Diceros bicornis minor: one gene and its partner. Each later gene encodes a partner of the first gene's protein in a complex. Links are inferred from orthologs where the notes say so. Each region holds a gene or a part of one and is shown on either strand. Other genes may lie near its edges.

Region 1 (10,607 bases):
GAGCCTGGATGAAGCTCAGTAGGTCCTATTCTTTTCCAGCTCCTGCTTCAGGCAGGGTTATTTCAGCTCAGGTGACTGCTCAGCAGTGTCTGCCCAGCGTTGTTAGGTATCCCGGGACATACTCTGCTTGAGATCGAACTGTGCAGGGAAGTGGGGAAGCTTTGGGTTGCTGGGGAAGCCTGTCGACACCCCACAACTGTCCTCAGGCCAAAACCTGGGATGCTCACACCACGTTACCACATCCCCCACACAGAAGGACAACTTTCCTCCCCGTTAAGGCTGTCCCTGGTGATGAGAGCAGGGTCAGATCAAAGCCAACAAATTCAAAGGCACCTGGTTTGGGAGCCTCTGCTCTGCCAGCACTCATGACTCAAGTGAGAATGGGCATCAGAAGGGATTGTCCAAGCTCTCGTTACAGATGAGAAAACGGAGGCCTAGAGAAAAGGCACTCGCCAGGGCATGAGACTCGGTTTTGTAACTCGTGTGTCTGTGTGTGTGAGGCGATCAGCCCTGTGCTAACATCTGCCAATCCTCCTCTTTATTTTTTTGCTGAGGAAGACTGGCCTTGGGCTAACATCCGTGCCCATCTTCCTCCACTTTATATGGGATGCCGCCACAGCATGGCTTGCCAAGCAGTGCATTAGTGCGTGCCCGGGATCTGAACCGGCAAACCTCGGGCTGCCGCAGCTGAGCATGCACACCCAACTGCTTGCACCACCGGGCCAGCCCCAGGTCTTGTAACTCTTAATTTCATGCTCTTCCAATTAAAATAAAATGCAATGACTGTTCTTTGAAAGACTGGCCACTGGAATATTTTTTTCATTGAGAAAATATTTTCCCCCTTGTTTGAGAATCTTGTTCATCGTAATGTTGAAAGTCCCCTTATTCCCATCGTTTCCTCCATCCCCTGATCAAGTCACTTTCGACAGTTTGGTGTATTGGGTACTGAATCTGAGTGCTGCTGCTTGCTCTAGGGCGCGGGTGCCATGAAAGCGTTGCCAGACGCCTTTTCACGGATGCAAGTTTAACCTCGCGACGTCGATAGCCGCTGACCCAGACATCAGAGAGCGCGGGCGATAGAGGATCATTTGCCCTGATTTGCAACTTTCATAGTCTGAGAAAATCTTACAATAGAATAAAATTGGAATCACGTGTAGTGACCTTTGAACAAGGCAAAGCGTCATGGACTGTGAAGAGCACATCTCCAGGTTCGGGTGTGGGTCGTGACCCTGCCCTTGACTAGCTGCATGAACTCAGGCAAGTTACTTAGCTTCCTTGTGCCTCAGTTTCCTCATGCATAAAATGGGAATAAATAGATACCTGTCTCATCAGTGCTATGTACCTGGCATGTGAACAATTATTGAATTGGAGCTGGTTGTTAATAGTATTGTAATCCACCCAAGATTAAGGTATGTACGTGTTTCCTATAGGTTTTGCTTGTTTGGGGCAGGCCAGCATCACTTACACAATAGATATGTACTTGGCTGCATGTCCTCTGGGTACACTTGATAGTACAGCGAGGCTGTACTCTACTGGAACGTCAGGGGACAAGGGTCATGGGAGGAGAAGAGCGATGGCCTGAGGGAGGAGTGCGGGTCCTGGTCCTGGCTTTACCACCGATTCTCTGTGGGGCCTTGATCGATTAGCTTCCCCACTCAGATCCCTCCATCTCCTCGCAGTGACATGGGCAAATTGGGCCACATCAGTGGTTCCCGATCTCTGCTCCACCCTGGAGTCCTTTTGCTAACATTATTTCTTCTATGGATCCCATGTTTTAAAAGATTTCTATTGAGTAGAAACAGACTTACTCATATTTTTTTATCAAAATAGAAAACTGCTGATCATGTAGAGAAAAACAAGGTAATTAACCACCTGAAGAGAGATAGTTTTAGTCAAAAGGAAAAACATTAGTTTTGTCTTATGGTAAATTTACAATTTTTGAGGTTTTTTTTAATATGCAAAAAGGTAAGACCACCCTGTAGTACATGCACAGAGCCCCAGGCTTTGAAGTGTCCAGATTTAACAATATTTGATCTTGCTTCCACTTCTGAAATTCTCGCTTAGAAGATAATTTTACTGTTTTCAGTGATTATAGAGCTTCGCTTTACAGCGTAGCATTGGTCTTGCCCACGATTTTGTTTGATGCCAGCTTGTTGGGCAGAAATGCAACCCCTCAATATGGCCTTGTTCTTAGAGGCAAATATGATCTGCTTTAAGTGTGCAGGTACGTGTTTGTGGTGAGAAGCAGGAATGACAGGCTCAGCTGCATGATACTCACTGGGCCCAGAGAGTTCCAAGGAGAACAGTTCTTGGAGGCTGGGGCTCTTCTGGTGGACCCTGAAGACTAGGGGTGTGCTGGGTCCATTGGATTTCTGTACCCGTGGTGGTGCCACCCTGGTCTGGCAGAACTTTTGGATCCTTCCAGAGCCACTCACAAAGGGGATGCTCTCCCTAGATCTCTGCTCTCCCTAGATCATCGTGAAACATTCACTACTTGAAGAGAACTTGTGAATCCCTGTGGACTCTCACAGCCGTCCTAGAAACTGCGTGGGAAAGGACTCGTATGTGCACTCCCATCTCCACGTCTCTCCGAGCACAAGGCTGCATTCCGCAGGTGGGCAGCACTGCTCTCTGCAAAGTAGAGAGGGTGGATGTGGTCTTCTGTTCACCCAAGAACGTGTGAAGGCTGTCTAACTAGAATCCACTTACTGCTAGCCTCCATTTATTAAGGAATTAAGTTTACTTTTCATTGTGAAATTTTTCAAACACAAAAAATTAAAAGGGATAATATAACAATCCCCTAGCCACCTAGATTTAATGATTGTTAGCATTTTGCCGTGCTTGTTTCATGTTTGTTGTAAGTTCTTCAGTATAATCTATAACTCATAAGTTATATAAAACTATAACTTATATAAAAAATATAACCATGTGTCATATAATACTTATCAAATGAACAATAATTCTTTCATTTGAATGAGAACCTAATCTATATTTAAATTTTCTTGCTTGTCCAAAAAGAGTCTTTTTACAATTGATTTCTTCGAAAGTCTAAACCAATCATGGTAATTCTGTTTCCCTGGTGCATTTGGTTGTTAGGTCTCTCTTAGGTTTCTATTATTCTGGACAGTCTTTCCCACCCACCCCTTTTATTCTATGTCATGAATTTGTCAGAGAAACTGGGGTCATTTGTCCTGAAAAATGTTGCTCATTCCTTGTGGTGTCTAACTTATTCCTTTATCATCTGTATTTCCTGCAGACTAGTAATTAAAGTTAGAGGCTGAGAGGCCGGCCCAGTGGCATAGTGGTTAAGTTCGTGCGCTCCACTTCCATGGCCTGGGGTTCACAGGTTCAGATCCCGGGCACGGACCTACACACCGCTCATCAAGCCATGCTGTGGTGACGTCCCACATACAAAATAGAAGAAGATTGGCACAGCTGTTAGTTCAGCGACAGTCTTCCTCAGGCAAAAAGAGGAAGATTGGCAACAGATGTTAGCTCAGGGCCACTCTTCCTCACCAAAATAAATAAAGTTAGAGGTTGATTAGATCCAGATTCATCATTTTAGGAAAAACTCTTTATAGGCAGCATTGTGTGTTGCCTGTTGCAAAATAGCATATAACTGCTGTTTACTGAGTGCTTACTGTGTGGCAGGCATTGTGATACTTGACGAACATTATAGTATGTTCTGAGGGTAGTTTCGTTTTTGTTTCACAACGATAAACTTAACTCTGAATCCAACTAGACCTGAAGGGAGACGAGATATATGAAATACAAGAACTGCAGCAGGAGAGAACACAGAGGTTACAGGGTGTGAGAGCTGGGGGCGCTCTCCTCAGGGGCAAAAGGAGTGGTTGGGTATAAGATAAACACAAGAGCAAGTTCGTCAGAAGGGCCCAGAGTCTTCTGACTGGTCTTGCCATTCCTGGACCCAGCATGCCCCGTGGCTTCCACAATATTCATGCCATCTCTCTCCTTGCCAGAGAGCCAGTGCTTGCCATCCAGCCCGTCAGTCTTAACCGTGTGGATGACAAACTGGGGGCCATTTGGGTTGGCTCCAGCATTTGCCGTGGACAAGATGTCAGGACCATATTCAAAATGAATTTCTCATCAGCAAAGTTCTCCCCCTGGCAGTACTATTGTGGTGTGTAAATTCATCACCTGACACATAAATCCAGGAGTAAGTCTGGGAAAGCAGGAACCCGTATAACCAAATCTCGTCCTCTCTGTGTTCAGAGAACTGAAGTTTTCTGCTTTGGAACATTGTCTGCAAACAGCTTGAGGAAGACATAGCCCAAGACTTGCTCGTTAACAGCCATGTCTGCGCGTGGTGCTTGTCTGTCATGACTGGGGGGTCCTGACAGCGGGGGAACAGGGAGCAGTCAGCAGGCCCCTTGTTCCTCAGTAGAAGAGGTGCCGTGTGTTAGGTGATCTCTCCCCCTGCTGACACCCCCTCTCACCTCTTCTCCCTTTCCAGGTTGAGTCAGCACTGGCCCAACCTGGTCCCCAGGAAAGGGAGGGTCACCTGCCTCGAGGCAGGAAGGATGAAGCCACACCTCTCTTCTCTCCCCTTTTCAGGAGCCCTACCCCCTTCCCTTACTCAAGATGTAACTTTTTAAGAAATTAGTGAGGTGAGATCTTTGTACCATTCCACTTCCTTCCCTCCCCAAAAAAGAGTAGGCTCAGTGTCATTAGTCAACAGGGAATACAAATTAAAACCTCAGTGAGACACACCTGCACATCCATCAGGATGGTTGATGTGAAATGGATGGACGATATAGAGGGCTGGGGGGGACGTGAGCAACCGGGACTCTCCAACATGGCTGGTGGGAGCGTAAACTAGTACAGCCACTTGGGACAACTGTCTCAGCGACTTCAGCAAAACATGCCTGCCTTATGACCCAGCAAATCCTGGGCGTGTAACCCAACAGAAATAAGTGCTCATCTACACCCAGAGACTTGTGCACGAATATTCATAGCAACATTACTCATTATAGCCCAAACTGGAAACTAATCCAAATGCCCATCAACAGGTGGATGGATAAAGAAAATGTGCTCTATTCATGCCGTGAGATACTATGCAGCTTCAAAGGAACATAACATGGATGAATCTCAGGAACATGCTGAGCGAGAGAAGCCAGACACAAACAGGTATATGCCGTAGGTTTCCATTTATATGAAGTTCAGAAGTAGGCAAAACTATCTATAGTTAGCATAGCGGTTATCCTAGGGCCTATTGGGGCTGGAAATGTTCTCTCTCGTGATCTGGTGGTGGTTACATGGGTGTATGCATAAAAATTTGAGTTAAACACTTAGGATTTGTTTTAACATTATTGTATATAAATTAAACCTCAATTTAAAAAATATATATATAGAAAAATAGGAATATGTAATATAAATATAAATATATGTAAGTATAGGAACTGGGCCACCCAGGAATTAAGCTGATTCTTGGTCCCCCGTTCTCTGCCAGCCTTCTCTCTTCCCTGCTCTGCACCAGGCCCCTCCCTGCGATCTCAGACTGTACACGACCGCAGTCCAGATGCCGAACGGCCAGGCCTAAAGGATGGCGAGGCAAGAGCCTGAGCTCCCTGTGTTCCTGTTCTTTGTCCCTCTGTCCTAACTAGACTAGGACTAATATTTACCTTGCGTCCTGTAAACAGGAAGTGGAGGAGGGACGGGAGCAGGGCTGGCCGAGGGCAGTGTAAGACAGCAGCCTCTCTAGGCCCGGCCCAGGGCAGACGGGTGCAGGGAAAGGGGGTCCCTGCCGCGGAGACCCCGGGATTTGGGCTGCCCCTGTTCTGGGGAGGGCAGCAGTCCTGGGATGACCAGAGGCCCAGGAAGCCCTGGACCTGGTTCCTCCTCCCGGGGAACACTACACACAAACACACCTCCACAGCTTCCCAGATGGGAAAGAGGGGAAATGGGACCCTCCGTCAGGGGCTGAGAGGCTGGGGTAAATGTTGGCCGTCCCTGCCCCCAGTGTGTCATGGGGCAAGGTGGGCAGCTCTAATCTGGCGATGCCCTTGTCTCTATTCTCTTCTATCTATGTGTTATGATTACACGAACCTCCCGGTTGGTTTATATCCGTGTATCTTCTGATTATTAAGCCCTCACTGTGTTTCATGGGCTTACATTCCTAATCTCCTCTAGTCCTCATAGCAAAGTACTATTCCCACTGTACCGATGAGGAAACTGAGGCACACAGAGATTAAAGCAACCATCATCATGTGTTGGAATTGGAAGGGGCCTCAGGAACTGGTCCAAGTTGACCCATGTCTTAGGGAAGGAGGGGCAGGACGATAGTAGTTACACTGATTTTCCTTTGTGACTTCCTCCCAGACCATCCATCCCTGGTCGCAGGAGGACCTGTACCCCCAGATGGTGGGGGTGGACTATCTATCCACTTGTCCCCACGGCCCTGACCTGCTGACCTCTGCCTCTAGGCTGATTTCTTCATGTTAGTTCAACATTAACCCAGAGGGGTCAGGACGAACTCTCAGAGTCCCAGCAGCCCACACACTATGGCGCACGTCCGAGGCCTGTGGCTACCTGGCTGCCTGGCTGTGGCTGCCCTGTTTAGCCTTGTGCACAGCCAGCATGGTAAGGGGGCTCGGAATCCCGCACAGACTGACAGACCAGGATTCCACCCGTGGAGAACACAGGGCCGGCCCCTAGATGGGTCAGCCCAAGGTATCTAGCTTAGGGAAGGAGCCGGGTGCTCAGGGCCGGACAGACAGTGACTGCTTCTCTCTTACAATTGGGGAGTGGGCTGGGGGTGACCAGTGAATGGAGGGGAGCTAGTGGGCTACCCTTAGCAGCTTCCTGAGTCCTGCTGCCATCCTAGACATCCCCTTTCAGAAGCCAGCAGGGCAGGCCAGGCTTGCTTCCTGCCCCCACGGTGGCCAAGATGGCCTGACCCCCTGAGGCCGCTGTCCCACACCCCTCCTACTGCAGTGTTCCTGGCCCCTCAGCAAGCACTGTCGCTGCTCCAGCGGGTCCGACGCGCCAACAGTGGCTTCCTGGAGGAGGTGCGCAAGGGCAACCTGGAGCGGGAGTGCATAGAGGAGCAGTGCAGCCGCGAGGAGGCCTCAGAGGCCCTGGAGTCCTCCAGCGCCACGGTGAGGCTGGGCTGCTCGGAGGGAGGCCGGGGCTCCCCCGATGTGGGCCCACCTCTAGGGCCACAGATGAGAGGAGCCAACATCACAGCTCCTAAACTGTTGACAACTTGATTTCGTCTCTGAGCCCCATTTCACTGGGCTGCCAAGATGAGCAACCTCAGCCTTTCTTGGGGGGGACCCAGTGCCTGGGCTGTGTCAAGGTCCCAGGGACCAATGAGGCTCCAGGACGTCACGGGGCCTCCTTAGTCTTCAGACATCTGTCTACACTGGGGTCCCTGGGGCCCCTGGCCCACTTGGCCTCTCGGCCTCAGCTTTTCCGATACTCCTGTGCCGCCTGTGGGAGGTGGGCGTGTGGTAGGCTGGGAGCCCTGGGCCAAGGCCTTAGCGTTCCACGGACCCTGTGCAGCCTTTCCCTTCCGCGGGGCTCTGCCTGGGCCCCACACTCCCCTCTCCGCCAGTCTTCCGCACCCAGGGGAATCCCTGTCCGTTTTGGTTGAGGGAGCCCCCCCCCCTTCAAATACTCTTCTGAACGAGCTGGGTTTTTGGAGCAAAAGTAGGAAACTGTGCCACAAACGTCCCCAGAGCCTGCCCCTTGCGTGACCGGGGTAAGGAAAAGAGGGAAGAATAAGGAGGAGACATAAAGTTTACTAAACAACAAAACCAAACGGGATCCTGCCACAGCCTCATGCCAGCCCTTGTTTTTCAGGATGCGTTCTGGACCAAGTACACAGGTGAGCCCTGGGAAGGGTGTGCTCCAGGAATCCTGGGGACCCCAGTTAGAGAATCTTCTGGTCTGTCCTATCACTCACCTATCCACCCAATCTCTTTTCCTCCTTCCTTCCATCCATCTATCCTACTCTGTTTCTGAATGTCGTCCCACCCTCCTTTTACTCAAGCCCATCCTGTCCCTACCACAATCCCAAAGGTGTTTCTGGGTCTTTTCCAGCTTGTGAGTCGGTGAGGATACCTCGAGAAGATCTCGTTGAGTGTCTGGAAGGTGAGGAACTGGCATGAGGGTGGGGGCCAGGATATGAGAGGGGCAGTCTGGGAGAAGAGCAGAGTAGGGGTCGGTTAGGGGCTGTGGCCCAGCAGCGGTGGCCCCTAGCATCTGACTTTGCCTTGCTGTTCCTGCCGTCGAGGTTGTGTCTTTGCCCCTGGCTCTGTACCTGCTGGTCACTAAGATGATTAATGTTGAAGGAAGAAGTAAATGGATAATGAATTAACATTAAGGCCTCATTCTCATGAGCTCCTGCCCACGCCAGTTAGTCTTCCCCATGCCCCCAGGGCAGAGCTCCCATGACATCACTTTCGTTCTCCAAAACCTTGAGTGGCTCCCCATTGCCCCCAGAATAAAGCACAGGCTGCTTAGGCTGGTGAACTTGGCAGCCTAACCTTAACCTCCCCTTCTAGCCTTCCCTCCTGTTGCACCAACCATGAACACAGAGCCTGAGCTACTCTGATAGCCAACATTTCTCTAAACATGCCAAGATGTTTCTACTGCCTGGCCCTTGCTTAATTTGTCATCATCCCCTTGAGCAACCATCACCACTTACTGAAAACCTCCCTGTCCTGCATGGACTAGTTCAAATGCCACCACCTTGCTGAGCCTTCAGGGAGCCCCCTCCCTCCTCCACAGCGTCCTGAACACACCTTTAGTATGACAACAGGCCCCACTACAGGCAACTCGTTGATCACTGGCCATACTTTCACTTGTTAAATAACTTATTCAATAGACATTTCACTAAGTCCCTGCTATGTGCCAGGCACTGTGTCAAGTTCTGGGGGTTTAAGAGAATCAAGGAGCTCACAATCTCATAGGAAAACAAAATGACAAAACATCAAAGTGATGGCTGGCAAAGTTCTGTTCCAGGGGCCAAGAGAGTGCCAGGAGGAGGGGCGTTTAGTTTGCTGGCAGGATCAGGGACAGCTGCCCAGAAGAAGTAGAGTTTTACCTGGATTTGTAGAATGTGCTGATGAATAAACAGGAGAGCATTCCAGGCAAAGGAAACAGCATGTGCAAAGGGCCTGGAGGAGGAGGAGGCATGAGGAGCTAAGATAACAGGACAGATAGACCAGGGACGGATTAGAAGGAGCTTGTTCATTTTATCATCCTGCTCGCCATGAGGAGCCACCGAATATAAGCTCCATGAGGGCAGGGACCTATGACTGTCTTATTGACTGTGACTGTCTTATTCATTGTTGTGTCCTTAGTACCTGGCACAGTGTCTATCACATGGTGGACACTCAGTGAACATTTAGTGACTACTGTCAAATGGACTGGGGAACTGCTGGGTGCAGAGGAGGTGCCGAGTAAGTGCAGGTTAAGGGTCATGGACCAGAGGGAGCTTGGAGGGGGTGCACAGACAGAGCTTTGCTAGGAGAGAGGGACAAATCCTAGGGGGAGTTGCTAGTGGGGGAAAATTCTCAGGGTAAGAGATCTGGGCCGGGATCTCTGCAGGTAACTGTGCTGAAGGTCTGGGTGTGAACTACCGAGGGAACGTGAGCTTCACCCGGTCAGGCATTGAGTGCCAGCTGTGGAGGAGTCGCTACCCACATAAGCCTGAGTGAGTGATGGCAGACCTATCTGCTAGTGGGCTGAGAATGGGGGCAAGGAGACACTGAGGGGCCAGGGTCTCCTGCTGAGCAATTTCCTATTCCAGAATCAACTCCACCACACACCCTGAGGCCGAACTGCAGGAGAATTTCTGCCGCAACCCAGATGGCAGCACCACGGGGCCCTGGTGCTACACCACAGACCCCACCGTGCGGAGGGAAGAGTGCAGCGTCCCTGTGTGTGGTGAGCTGGGGCGACTAGGCAGTCTGTGGCCAAGGCCCAGCCAGGGGTCTTCATGGGGCCTGGCAGCCTGGGACGGAAACCAAGATCCTGGCTCCCTTCAAGAGGGGGTTATTCAGGGGCCGGCCTGGTGGTGCAAGCGGTTAGGTGTGCACGCTCCGCTGCAGCGGTCCAGGGTTCACAGGTTCGGATCCCGGGCGCGCACAGACACACTGCTTCGCAAGCCATGCTGTGGCGGCGTCCCATATAAAGTGGAGGAAGATGGGCATGGATGTTAGCCCAGGGCCAGTCTTCCTCAGCAAAAAAAGAGGAGGATTGGCAGATGTTAGCACAGGGCTGATCTCCTCACAAAAAAAAAAAAAAAAAAAAGAAAAGAGGAGGTTATTCATCTCTAACATATTTGGGCCTGTTGCTCAGTAAAGTCAAGAGACCAGAGAGAGTTGGCTTCCAGCCTCCTCCTTTCCCTCCCCAGTCTTTGCTTCCTTGTGATCCAGGCTGTGGCTCATTCCAACATGCTCCTGCTTCAGACACTCTTCCCTAACCATTTCAGTCCACACGCCCTTTTCTGGGCACCACAGAGCAAGCCTCATACAGACCAGCCCTGAATGATTCTGTCATTGTTATTTCCCGTGATGTATCAGTTAGCTATAGCCACAATGATGCTGCAAAACCCACAAAATCACAAACAACTGCAG
Region 2 (10,129 bases), on another chromosome or scaffold:
CACTAGTGTTCTGGGGTCCAAGATGCCCCAGTAAGGTTCTTGCCTCTGGATCTTGAAAGTGTGTTTTGGTCTTCTTGTGTTCTTAAGAAAATGCCCCTCCTCTGGAGGAAAAAATCCTAAAGCAATGAGCCCTTGAAAGTCAATTTGGTGGCTACATGGGAGCAGACCCTTTTGAACAATGGAAGGCCAGGCAGTCAGGACAAGTTTGTAAGGAATCACTCTCTCCTCTGGACCCCCCAGGACAACTCACCTACACCTACTTTGCCTCCACTCATCTAGTTCTTCCTTCGTATGCACCCACTACGGAATTTGGTTTCTGCCAGTCTACCAAACTCCTCAAGCCACAGCGCTCAACTCGCTATCTCAGTGCACGGCAGCTGCCACCCTCACCCTGCACACACCAGAGCTGTCAGCCGCATCCCAGGATGTTGCACTCTCCAGCTGCACCTTCACAACAGGAACTGCTCAGCTTGAAACTGAGAAATTCAGCATCATCCATGTGTATACAAATATTTGAATATTTGACCAAATTCGATTTTCTTTCCACTTCTGCGTTATGAACACTTTGGGAGCACTGCATATAAAATTCAGCCAGTCTACCAGCCCAGGAAAAGGGGCCCAAGAAATTTGTGTATTAAAAAGACAGTGTTTCTAATCTCCAACAGAAATGAGAATGATTTAACACTGCGTAAGACCTTGGCATGTGGAAACAATTGTTTGAATATGAGCCACAGACTGAGACCCCTCCTGACTGTTGTGTTTGGATAGCTCAGAGAGCAGATAATGCCAAACCATACACAGAATGACACACAGCTGGGATTCTGGAGATGCCCAAGAAAGACTGTTTCTTTAACTCACGCCAACAAATAATCCTATAATGTATTTTAAGACGCATAGACACAAGTCCTGTGCATGAAGTGGTTATGGTTACAAAAGGAAAAAATAAATATTTGTGCACACAGGCATAACGTGAAGTCCTTCTACAGTGAAAACAATGTCCTCTGGAAAGATCTTTGAAAGTCAGAGATGGTGCCATCGGCAGATGGAGCCAGTGAAGGGGTGTGGAGCAGCCTTTAAATGCATCTCAGGGCATTTGCATTGTTGGTGCGCCTGGTTCAATGATGCAAAATGAGGGGTGGGGGAGGGGAGGTGAACAGACACAACCCAAGAACACTCTGTTATTTGTTTATTTTCTACATGTGATGTCATAAGCAAGGGTTTTGCCCGTGTCCTAGTTTATCTGCAATAAATAAATAACTATGTACAAATGTGCTGAGTTTACAAAATAGTAGAAGAAAACCTTTGCATCACAAAAGATACATTATATGATACATTTTTTTCCACACACTAAAGCATGATTTCATCCCTAGCTCAGTTGAACCAAAGAACTTCTCTACCCTGTGCAGCAATGTCTAAAGTTGTGTACCTAGTCTTTCTACCAGAAAGCAAAGCTATAACGTGAAAATTCCTCAGTTTCTTGAGAATAAAGGACCTGGTTTGGCCTACTACTTATTACTGATCCATATTTAATTTGTTCCAGAAAGTTGGAAGCTATCTGGCACAGTTCTCCTCAGGCTGTACTGGGCAGACACCCCCTGCAGACCTTGTTACAATCCAGATTCTCATGCAGCAGGTGGGTGGAGCTGGAGCTCCTGCATTTCTAACCAGCCGCCCCGGCGCGGGGGCAGCCTCTGCTTCTTGTCCCGGGCCCCTGCTCCAAGTGGACAGGGTTAGAAGGCCTCTCTGAAGTGGGAGAAATTCTCCAGGGCCTGATCAAGGTGGGGCCCTAACTGAGCATCCTTCAGGCTCCATCCTCAAGCTCCCAAATCCCACAAAGGAGTAGAGCTGGGCTACAAATCACAACAACAGTAAGAGTCAAAATGGGAATTGGCCTGGATCATGCAGCTCAAAACTGTTTTCAACCGTCTCCTGGGACGTGCTTCTGTCTTCTCTCAATCTAGAGCAATCGAGTGAACGTCTTCAACATTGTCCAAAATAACTAATAATAATAATAATATAAAAAGAAACTGCATAAGAAGCTTAACAATAGTTACTACTTTTCAGTCCAAATCAAAACAACAACAATATAACCCAGCCTCACTGTCTAAAAAATAAAAAACTCCTTGGGGTTGAAATTCTATGACAGTTCAGCCACATTAGTTTAACGAATGCCCCTCACATCTTAACCTCTGTTAAAATGATATTGCTCTGGAAGCCTGAAATTTCAAGAAAAATTAGCAAATCTGGTGCAAAAGCAAATCCCCAACCGCTCTTGTCTTGAGATGTTTTGTCTCTGTTTCACAGGGGAGTCCGCCTAGGCAGACACTAAGAGCAGAGGGGTCTGACACAGGGCGGTGACTCAGGTGGGTTGGCTGAGTTCCTGAGGAGGGAAAATTGGGAGGAATGAGGGGGGAATACAGGGCTGGGCTTCATAAATGCAAGAGGACTGGGAAAAAAATTCACCAAGATAGTATAACTGCCACACGACAAGTGGGAGTATATAAATATAGAGATAGGGAAGGAGAAGGGGGTGGGAGGAGTGGGGAGGGATACACACAAGTAGGGAAAAAGCAAAAGAACAAGATTCTAAATACTCAAAAAATAAATATCTTGGTCATTATTGATGACTTCATTACACTCACTAGTCCACGAGATCACAGTCTGCCCCAAAGGCTGCCAACCATAACGCTCACCCATCCTTGGTGAGGGCACGGGACACTGGAGTCTGTGTCTTCATCATAAAACGGCCATCTCGCCCAGTTGTCCGATGACGTCATGGAAATGGCTGGGGCGCATAGTCCTTCCAATTCCCCCTCCCCAGCCATGCGTGGAATCAGAGAAGAAGGTGGGGACGGTCTTCTCCAGTTCTGATGCCAGCTAAGGTGCTTTGGGGTAGCCAGGGAGTAAGGCTGGGGGCGGGGGGCGGGCACAGAAGGGTGGCAAAGGCCCAGCCCACACCTGGGGCCGGGGAGGGAGGCCCCTCAGAGTTTCTGAGGCGTCCGCTCCGTTCCCACGTGCTGCAGCACCACCTCCTTGGCTGGGGCCCCACACTTGTACTCCAGCTCGGCCCGCAGGGCCCCTTGCTTCTTGCGCAGGTGGCAGAGGAGCGCCAAAAGCGCCACCACCAGAGACAGACTTGCGATGGAGATGCCAATAAGCACGACCGAATGCATGGGTCTTACAGGCGAGGGGCTCGAGGTGGCGCCGGGGGTCGGGCTGACCGGGAGCTCCCCAGAGCCGCCGTCTTCGTCGCCGCCGTTGGTCACCTTGGGGTCACAGTCAGTGGCAGCCTGGCCGGCGAGGGGTGAGTCGGGCCCGCAGATGCACTGGTAGCTGCCAGGGAGGTTGAGGCACGCGTCGGGGCAGTAGCCATTGTTGCATTCGTCGATGTCTGTGCACATGAAGCCCTCGTCCAGGATGTAGCCCTCCGGGCACTGGCATGTAGTTGGGTTGTTGGGGTCGCAGTCAGCTGGGCATGCAGTCTGGTTGCAGAACATCTGGCACCTGTGCGGGTCGTTGGGGGTGGGCGCGAAGCCCTCGGCGCAGACGCAGCGGTAGCCATTTTGACCCACGGGCTGGCACTGGTACTCGCACTGAGTCCCGAAGCATGGGTCCACGGGCTCCACGCACTCGCCGTCCACCAGGTCGTAGCCGGGGTAGCAGTGGCACTGGAAGCCGCCCTGAGTGTTGACACAGCGCTGCGGGCACGGACTGGGCACCAGCGTACAGTCGTCCACGTCCTCGCAATGGTGCTGGTCGGCAGCCAGCTGGTAGCCCGTCTCGCACATGCACGAGTAGGCGCCGGGCACGTCCGGGGTGCGGTAGCAGAAGTGTTCGCAGAGTTGGTCGCACGAGTGCTCCCCAGGCGCGGCGCAGGAGCGCCCGTCGGCCTGCAGGGCGGCGTCGGCCGGGCAGAGGCAGCGCGACGCCCCGGCGCTCCCGTTGCACTTGTGCTGGCAGCCGCCCTGTTCCACGCTGCAGTCCCAGGCGCCGGGCGCCTCCTGGCTCCAGCGCGCCTCGGCCTCTCCGGGCGGCGCCGCGCACTCCAGCTCCACTCCGAAGGGCCCTACAGCGGCGGAGCTACCCACCGGCAGCGCCTGGAAGTCCGCGCCGCGGGCCCCGAACGGGGTGCTGTAGGTGATCGAGACACTGGCGGCCGCCGCGGACTCCACAGCCAGGGGCCTGCAGGAGGCTGCGAAGTGAAACTCGCAGAGGAAGCCATCGGCCTCCGCGGAGCACTGCTGCTCCTCCCAGGCCGGCTCGCCGGGTGCAGCGGCCCCGGCCGCCGAGACTGTGACGCACAGCGGACCGCAGAGAGGTGCCCCGTCGCGGTGGAGCCGCGCCCACCTGCTGTAGCTGGTGCGGTTATCGCCCGTAACCCACTGGAAGCCGCGCAAGGGGCCGAAGTGCCCCGGGTCGCTGCAGCCGGGCGGGAGCTGCAGGCCGATCCAGAAGCGCTGGCTGTCGCCGCCGTCGCCACTCAGTAGCAGAGAGATGACATCAGCCGCCACCGAGGAGCGCACGGTCATCAGGTGGCCCCGCAGGCGCTCGCAGGCCTGGCTGGCGGCGAGGAAGGGCACGGGGCCCCGGAAGAGCGCGAAGCAGTCGTGCTCGACGCACTGGCTGCCGTGGGGCTGCGGTTCCGTGGGCGCCGGGAGCCCCAGGCCAGCGGGGGCCAGCACGCCGAGAAGCAGGACCCGGAGCATGCTGTCCAGGCGCGCCGCGTGCAGGCCCCGGGGAGAGCGCAGGCGCCGCGACGAGGCCGGAGCCCGGCCGGGGCCGAGAGGTGCAGGGCGCAGCCGGCGACAACCCCTCCTGTCTGTCCCAGCACGGACGCGTCCGGACGCGGCGCGCAACCCCGGCAAGGCAGCCTCTGACATGCCAGCGGGCCGGGGCCCGAGTTTATAAGTGCGCGGCCCTCCCTCCCTGGACGTTCGGGAAAAGGAAGGAAGTGCCTGGTGGGAAGGGCTGATGCTGCATTCTCGGATTACTGGGTTCTCCGGACGCCTTGCGCCCGCCCTCGCGCCTGGGATCACCTCGGGGGGATGAGTAAACCCAGCCCGGGCGCTGGTATGTCCCCGGGCGGGGCCGCCAGGCGCAAGCGCGGCGGGAAGACAGCACCTCTGTCGGCAAGGCGACAGTCCCCGCCCCGCCACTCGGGCCCCCACGCGCGCAGCCTGAAAAGAGGCTTAATCCGCAGCCCTTCCTAATTTCCCTGTCCTCTTGCTTTTTCTTCATCAATGTGTTGTTACCACCGATTTCAAGGAAGCCTGGATTGCAGAAGACTAGGAAGAAGAGACCAGGGCGAGGAGGGCTTTGAAGAGGGGCGGGGGAGGTAGTGCCCAGGACCCGCAGGGCTCGGGGAGGAGGTGCCCACCAGGAAGAGGACTTTGGAAGGGGCTGCCTCGGGCGAGGACTTCCCCAAAGACGCTATCTCAAGGGGAGAGAGCTGGACCCCATCCAGGCCAGTGGGGGTGCCCTCGGCCCCAGAAGACAGAGGGTGTGGCTGGGGCGACGACGGGCGAAGGGGTTGCACTGGCTTGATATGGACCCCCCCCGCCGGGCCCTCCTGCACAGCTAGGGACCCACAAGTCCCTGAACGCCAGCTCCCAAAGCCCGACCTCATCTGGTCGCGTGGGAAAGTCGTGGGGATACTGTCAGAGCTCCAAGGTCTTGTCACCCTTCAGAGGCAGTAGCAGCCTCGCCTGTAGGGGCGGGCGTGCTGGGGTGCGTGTTAGCCTGTTTGGTCTGTTTTCCTTCAGCTTCACAGAGACGCAATCCATCTGGCACCCCCAACGGGGCGCGCGGGGAGGCGCTGCGGACGCCAAGTGGATGCCACTCGGATCTGTTAAGGATTTTTCTATTTGGCTGAGAAATCGGATTGATACAGAGGTGCACATAAATGCCACTTGGGCGGCAAAGGCTACTGAAGAGGGGCGGTCCTGTGGACGGGCAGGGTGGGGAGAACTGGGAGGAGGAGGTGGGAATCTGTCACTTTTCGACCTTATCCGCTTATTCATTTACCAAGAATGCGAGGGGTGGGTCCAAAGCATAACCGAGAGTGGCAAACTTTTTTTTTTCTTTTTTGACATCCTATGCCGTTTCTCCGCTATGGTCACTCACAACGAAGCACCAGGAGGCGGCGCTGTTGAACTCTAAACAAAGCCAAAGAAGTCCGAGATCTCCAGACTAGGGCGGAAAAGGGTTAAGAACGTGGGGAACGCAGAGGCCTCGTCCTGGGGCAGGAAACTCGGCTCCCGGGAAGCCTTGCGCAGATCCCGCGGCTCACCGGGGTGTCCTGCTTTCCTGGTCCAGGAGAGCCCAGATTTTGTAAGAGAACAGGTGAGTGTGGCGTCCTCACAAGCGAAAGACAAGCACCTGTCGGCGGGACTGTACTGACTGACAGTGACCAAACGCGTGGGGCCTAGACACTGGGAAAGTGAAGCGGGAGATGTGCAATGGTCTCTCCCTATGCTCCCTGACGCCCGGCGGAGAGCCGGGCCCGCTGAGCGCTGCTCTGTCCTGAGAACGCTGTCCCAGCTCGTGGCACGGAAGCAGCAGGAACGCGGCGTGGAGACTGAGGTCCAAAGCTCCCAGGAATAGACGCGACTGCCCCTCTGGGCAAAGGAAGGAACCACCAGCAGATTGGAGAGTCCGGCTGTCCCGGGTGCGAGCAGGGCAGGCGCTAGCCTAACGTCCCCCTGGCTGCCTGGCCTGAGTCAAGGATCATGACTTCTGTGAACAGCCCGCCCACGCAGGGCTGGAGCTCAGGGCAGGGCTGCCTCTGGTGGCGCCAGCCCTGGGGGCAGAGTGTCCAGATATGGGCTGGAACACTGCTGAAAGAGCTCAGAAAGTGGGAGAAATTGCCTGGGTGCATGAGACAGGTGAGGCAACAGGACCAGCTACACAATCCTCACCACCCCTTGTTCAAAACTTTCCGAGAATTTCAAGACTGACAGTAAAGCATGAAACAAAGGGGGGGCCCTCCTGACCCTGCCAGCCCTCAAAGAGGTTGAGGGACACCCAAGTGTCAAGCCTGGCCCCACACCAGGCTGAGTCACTTCTTGGGTGAGTTTTGGTGGGACGTCCTATTCAGGTCACCTTGAGCCCAGTTACTGATTCTTGAAAAGAAAAAGACAGGAAGTTGGAGGCTGCCCCAGTAGCTGCGTCCAGGTGAGAACCAGATGGTGCCGGTGAGACTTGGGCCAACCTGTCTGAGGAGGTGCCGGCTGTTTCCATGTAGAAAGACACTAGAGCAACAACTAAAGGGAGCAGAGCACTGACTGGGGTGGGACCAGCAGTCTCGGGTTACCCCGCAGAAGAGTGGATGGACATTTTCCATCCTGCAGGCCTTGCCCCTGGCCCTCAGCACACTTTACCTCTGCCTTCTAGGGCCTGCCCTCTGCCTGCTTTCTCCTCTCCAGCCATCACTTTGAGGCTTTTTTGCACATTTTAAGCTACCCTCGTCTTCCTCTGCACCTCCTGCACAGGCGGATAGGCCCCTCCCTCTGTCTCTATGTGGATGAACCCCCCCACTTCCCTCTTCTCCCCACCCCTGCCCTGCCACCCACCAGAGGCTCACCAGCCAGCCTGTTTTACTGGAACAGCCCCCTTGAAGAGTACCCATCATCTCCTAAATACTGTGGCCAATAACTTGTTTTCAGTCTTCATGCTTCTAGATGTCTCTGTGCTGTTTGCACTCCTGAGCCCTCACTGTTCTCAAGCCTCTTCCTCCCAGGACTTCCCAGACACCTGTGCCCCTGCCCCTCCTTCTCTACCTGCCTGAGGGCGGCCCCTCTGACCCTCCTGCCCTGCAAGCCTGGCAAGTCCTCAGGTTCTGTCTGCCGTCTTCTCTTCTCTCCACCCCTATCTCTTAACATCCCACCCTTTGCCAGACTCACCCATTGCCCTTGCAATGATATCCATGTCAAAGGAGACTGGTGGAGGGAGGTCCCCAGAAGGGACCCTCAACCCATTCTTTCCCCATATCAATATTTACACCCCTCAGACTTACGCCGTCATCACTTCTGCCTCAGACTTCGTCAGTTTCCCTGCCTCATCCTTCCGATCGTCATTGCTCCTGCTCCGTCAGCTCTGTTCCTTGGTCTTCTCTCTCTCACTCTTCGCCCCTGCTGACACTGCCTGAATCCTTGCACCCCTTCAGGGCACCCACCACCTGCCGAGGGAAGCCCATGCTCCTTTCCTCTCCCTCCCCACTAGGCCCAGCCACACTGAAGATGATTGCTCATTGTGCCTCTACTCTGTGGCCACAAAATAGGAAATTTGCACTCAAGGGTCTCCACTGGGGTTCAGACCCAGAACCCTCCCCCTTCAAAGGCTGTTGTCCCACTGGTCCCCACGGATGCTGCCAGTACCAGCAAGAGGGGTTCCTGCTGCCCGTGAGAGGAATGCCTCACCCCATCTCACCTTCATTCCGTGGCTCATGTTTTTTCTTCTGCCAGGAACATTCTAGTCTTTACTTCTTCTTCATCTATTTGAAATCTGACCCTTCTTTTAAGGCACAGGTGACACGCTGCCTCATCAGCAAGTTACAAACCAGAGCTGATCCCTGTGAAGTTCGTAGGCCTTTCTATCAGCACTTTAGCGCTAACTGCGCCTTCCCAGCCTTGTAAGTAATCACGTCCACATCGTGCTCTTTGCTACTCTTACAATCTAGTTTCCTGGGGTGAGCATGTTCTTATACATCTGTGCACCCCAGACGCCTGCCAGCAGTTTTCGTGCATAGACTGCTCAGGAGTCGCTTGAGCACCTGCTGTGGAGTTTCTTTGTGCCCCCTCCTGTGTGACTTTCTCATGTCAACCTGCAAAGACAAGGATGGGGACCTCAGGGCCTCAGGGTTGGGGGTGTGGGCTTTGGAGCCAACTGGGCTGGACTGAGCCCCAGCCCCATCGTTTATAAGTCATGTCGTATCTGGCAAATACCCGGCCTCTCTGTGCTCCAACTGTGTGATGAGAATCATAACAGACTCCCCTTCAAAGTGTGTGATGTGAATTAAATGAGTTGTACATGGAAAGCATCTAGTACCGTTGAGCCATAGTAAACTCTCAACAAATTTTAACTAAAAAAGGATACACTCTGGCCCCTAAAATTTGAATTCAGTCACTGATTGATAGTATTCGACACCCGGCATGGTTCCTTGTCCAGAGTAAAGACTTGCTAAATGTCTGTTGGGTGAAATTCAGTTCAGCTGAGCATTTTTACCAATAAGAGCAATAAGCAATTTTGGGGAAAAAACAAAAAAAAGAAGGACAAAAGGAAGTTTAGGGATCCAGGAGGAGTAGGGAAGGAACTGAAGGCAGCAGGAGAAGCGTGCCCTGGGTCCCTGTGCGCCGGGAGGCTTAGGTGAAGGCTCAGACTCACTCCCAGTCTGCCCCGAAGGCAGCCCATGTTAATTCCTCATTTTCCAGAGGAGAAAGCTGAAGGTCAGAGAGGAGAAGTGACTTCCCAGGGCCGCACAGCTGCCCTGAAACCAAGGCTCACCAGCCTGCTTTAGGATGAAAGAACCAAAGTGGAGTCAATCTGACCCCGAGTTTGCCCTTTAACACCCCCGATTTTAAGTTTCTTAAATCTCTGGTTTTCTCCCCCCAAAACTGGAGATATAATATCTAATTTACAAAGTTGTGAAGTTAGAAAATATACACACAGTGACTATTAGCTTTCTTGGAATGTAGCAGCTGGTGAACAAATACAGTGGTTACTCCTGGTGAGAAGCTCTGTGCAGGGCTCCCAGGGTCACTGGCGTCCATCTGGGAAGTCTGGCTCTTTCGATGGGAGTTTCTGTTTGATGTCTGCGGGGCAGCTTGGACCAACTCTCTGACAGGGAACAAACTCCTGCCATTTGTACTGAAGGCAAACGTGTGTGGCTGCTGTGAAAACAGAGCTGAAGAGGAGTCCAGATACAAAAGGGCCAGGGACAACGTGCTGACCCCACATACCTTAGCCAAAGAGCTTTAGCAAGTGTGGGAGGCAGTTTTCTTCTTACAAGACATAAAAATAACTTTCTAGTTTCAACACAAACACCTGCCCTTGGGCTTGTTAACTCCTCAGTCCCCTGATGCAGACCACCATTTTGCACTATTTCTCTCCCAAGCACATGGGCAGCTAGACC

Evidence for each region. The genes of interacting proteins can lie anywhere in the genome.
Region 2: the proteins of F2 (region 1) and THBD are in contact, whole or in part, in a crystal structure (PDB 1DX5), measured with the Homo sapiens proteins. The link is inferred for Diceros bicornis minor from reciprocal best matches to the Homo sapiens genes F2 and THBD. Residues at the interface, in NP_000497.1 of Homo sapiens: Phe382, Ser385, Pro386, Gln387, Leu423, Arg425, Thr432, Arg433, Tyr434, Arg436, Asn437, Glu439, Lys440, Ile441, Met443, Lys470; in NP_000352.1 of Homo sapiens: Ser424, Cys425, Glu426, Cys427, Tyr431, Ile432, Leu433, Asp434, Asp435, Thr440, Asp441, Ile442, Asp443, Glu446, Asn447, Gly449, Phe450, Asp479.

Annotation. Positions count from the first base shown.
Region 1 is NC_080770.1:23,573,669-23,584,275, reverse strand, and holds the start of F2 (prothrombin), read left to right. Parts: upstream 1-6,354; 5' UTR 6,355-6,521; coding exon 6,522-6,600; intron 6,601-6,954; coding exon 6,955-7,118; intron 7,119-7,824; coding exon 7,825-7,849; intron 7,850-8,064; coding exon 8,065-8,115; intron 8,116-9,576; coding exon 9,577-9,682; intron 9,683-9,778; coding exon 9,779-9,915; intron 9,916-10,607. UniProt on the Homo sapiens protein: Thrombin, which cleaves bonds after Arg and Lys, converts fibrinogen to fibrin and activates factors V, VII, VIII, XIII, and, in complex with thrombomodulin, protein C. Functions in blood homeostasis, inflammation and wound healing.
Region 2 is NC_080758.1:49,362,301-49,372,429, forward strand, and holds THBD (thrombomodulin), read right to left. Parts: upstream 5,010-10,129; 5' UTR 4,881-5,009; coding exon 2,982-4,880; 3' UTR 1,174-2,981; downstream 1-1,173. UniProt on the Homo sapiens protein: Endothelial cell receptor that plays a critical role in regulating several physiological processes including hemostasis, coagulation, fibrinolysis, inflammation, and angiogenesis.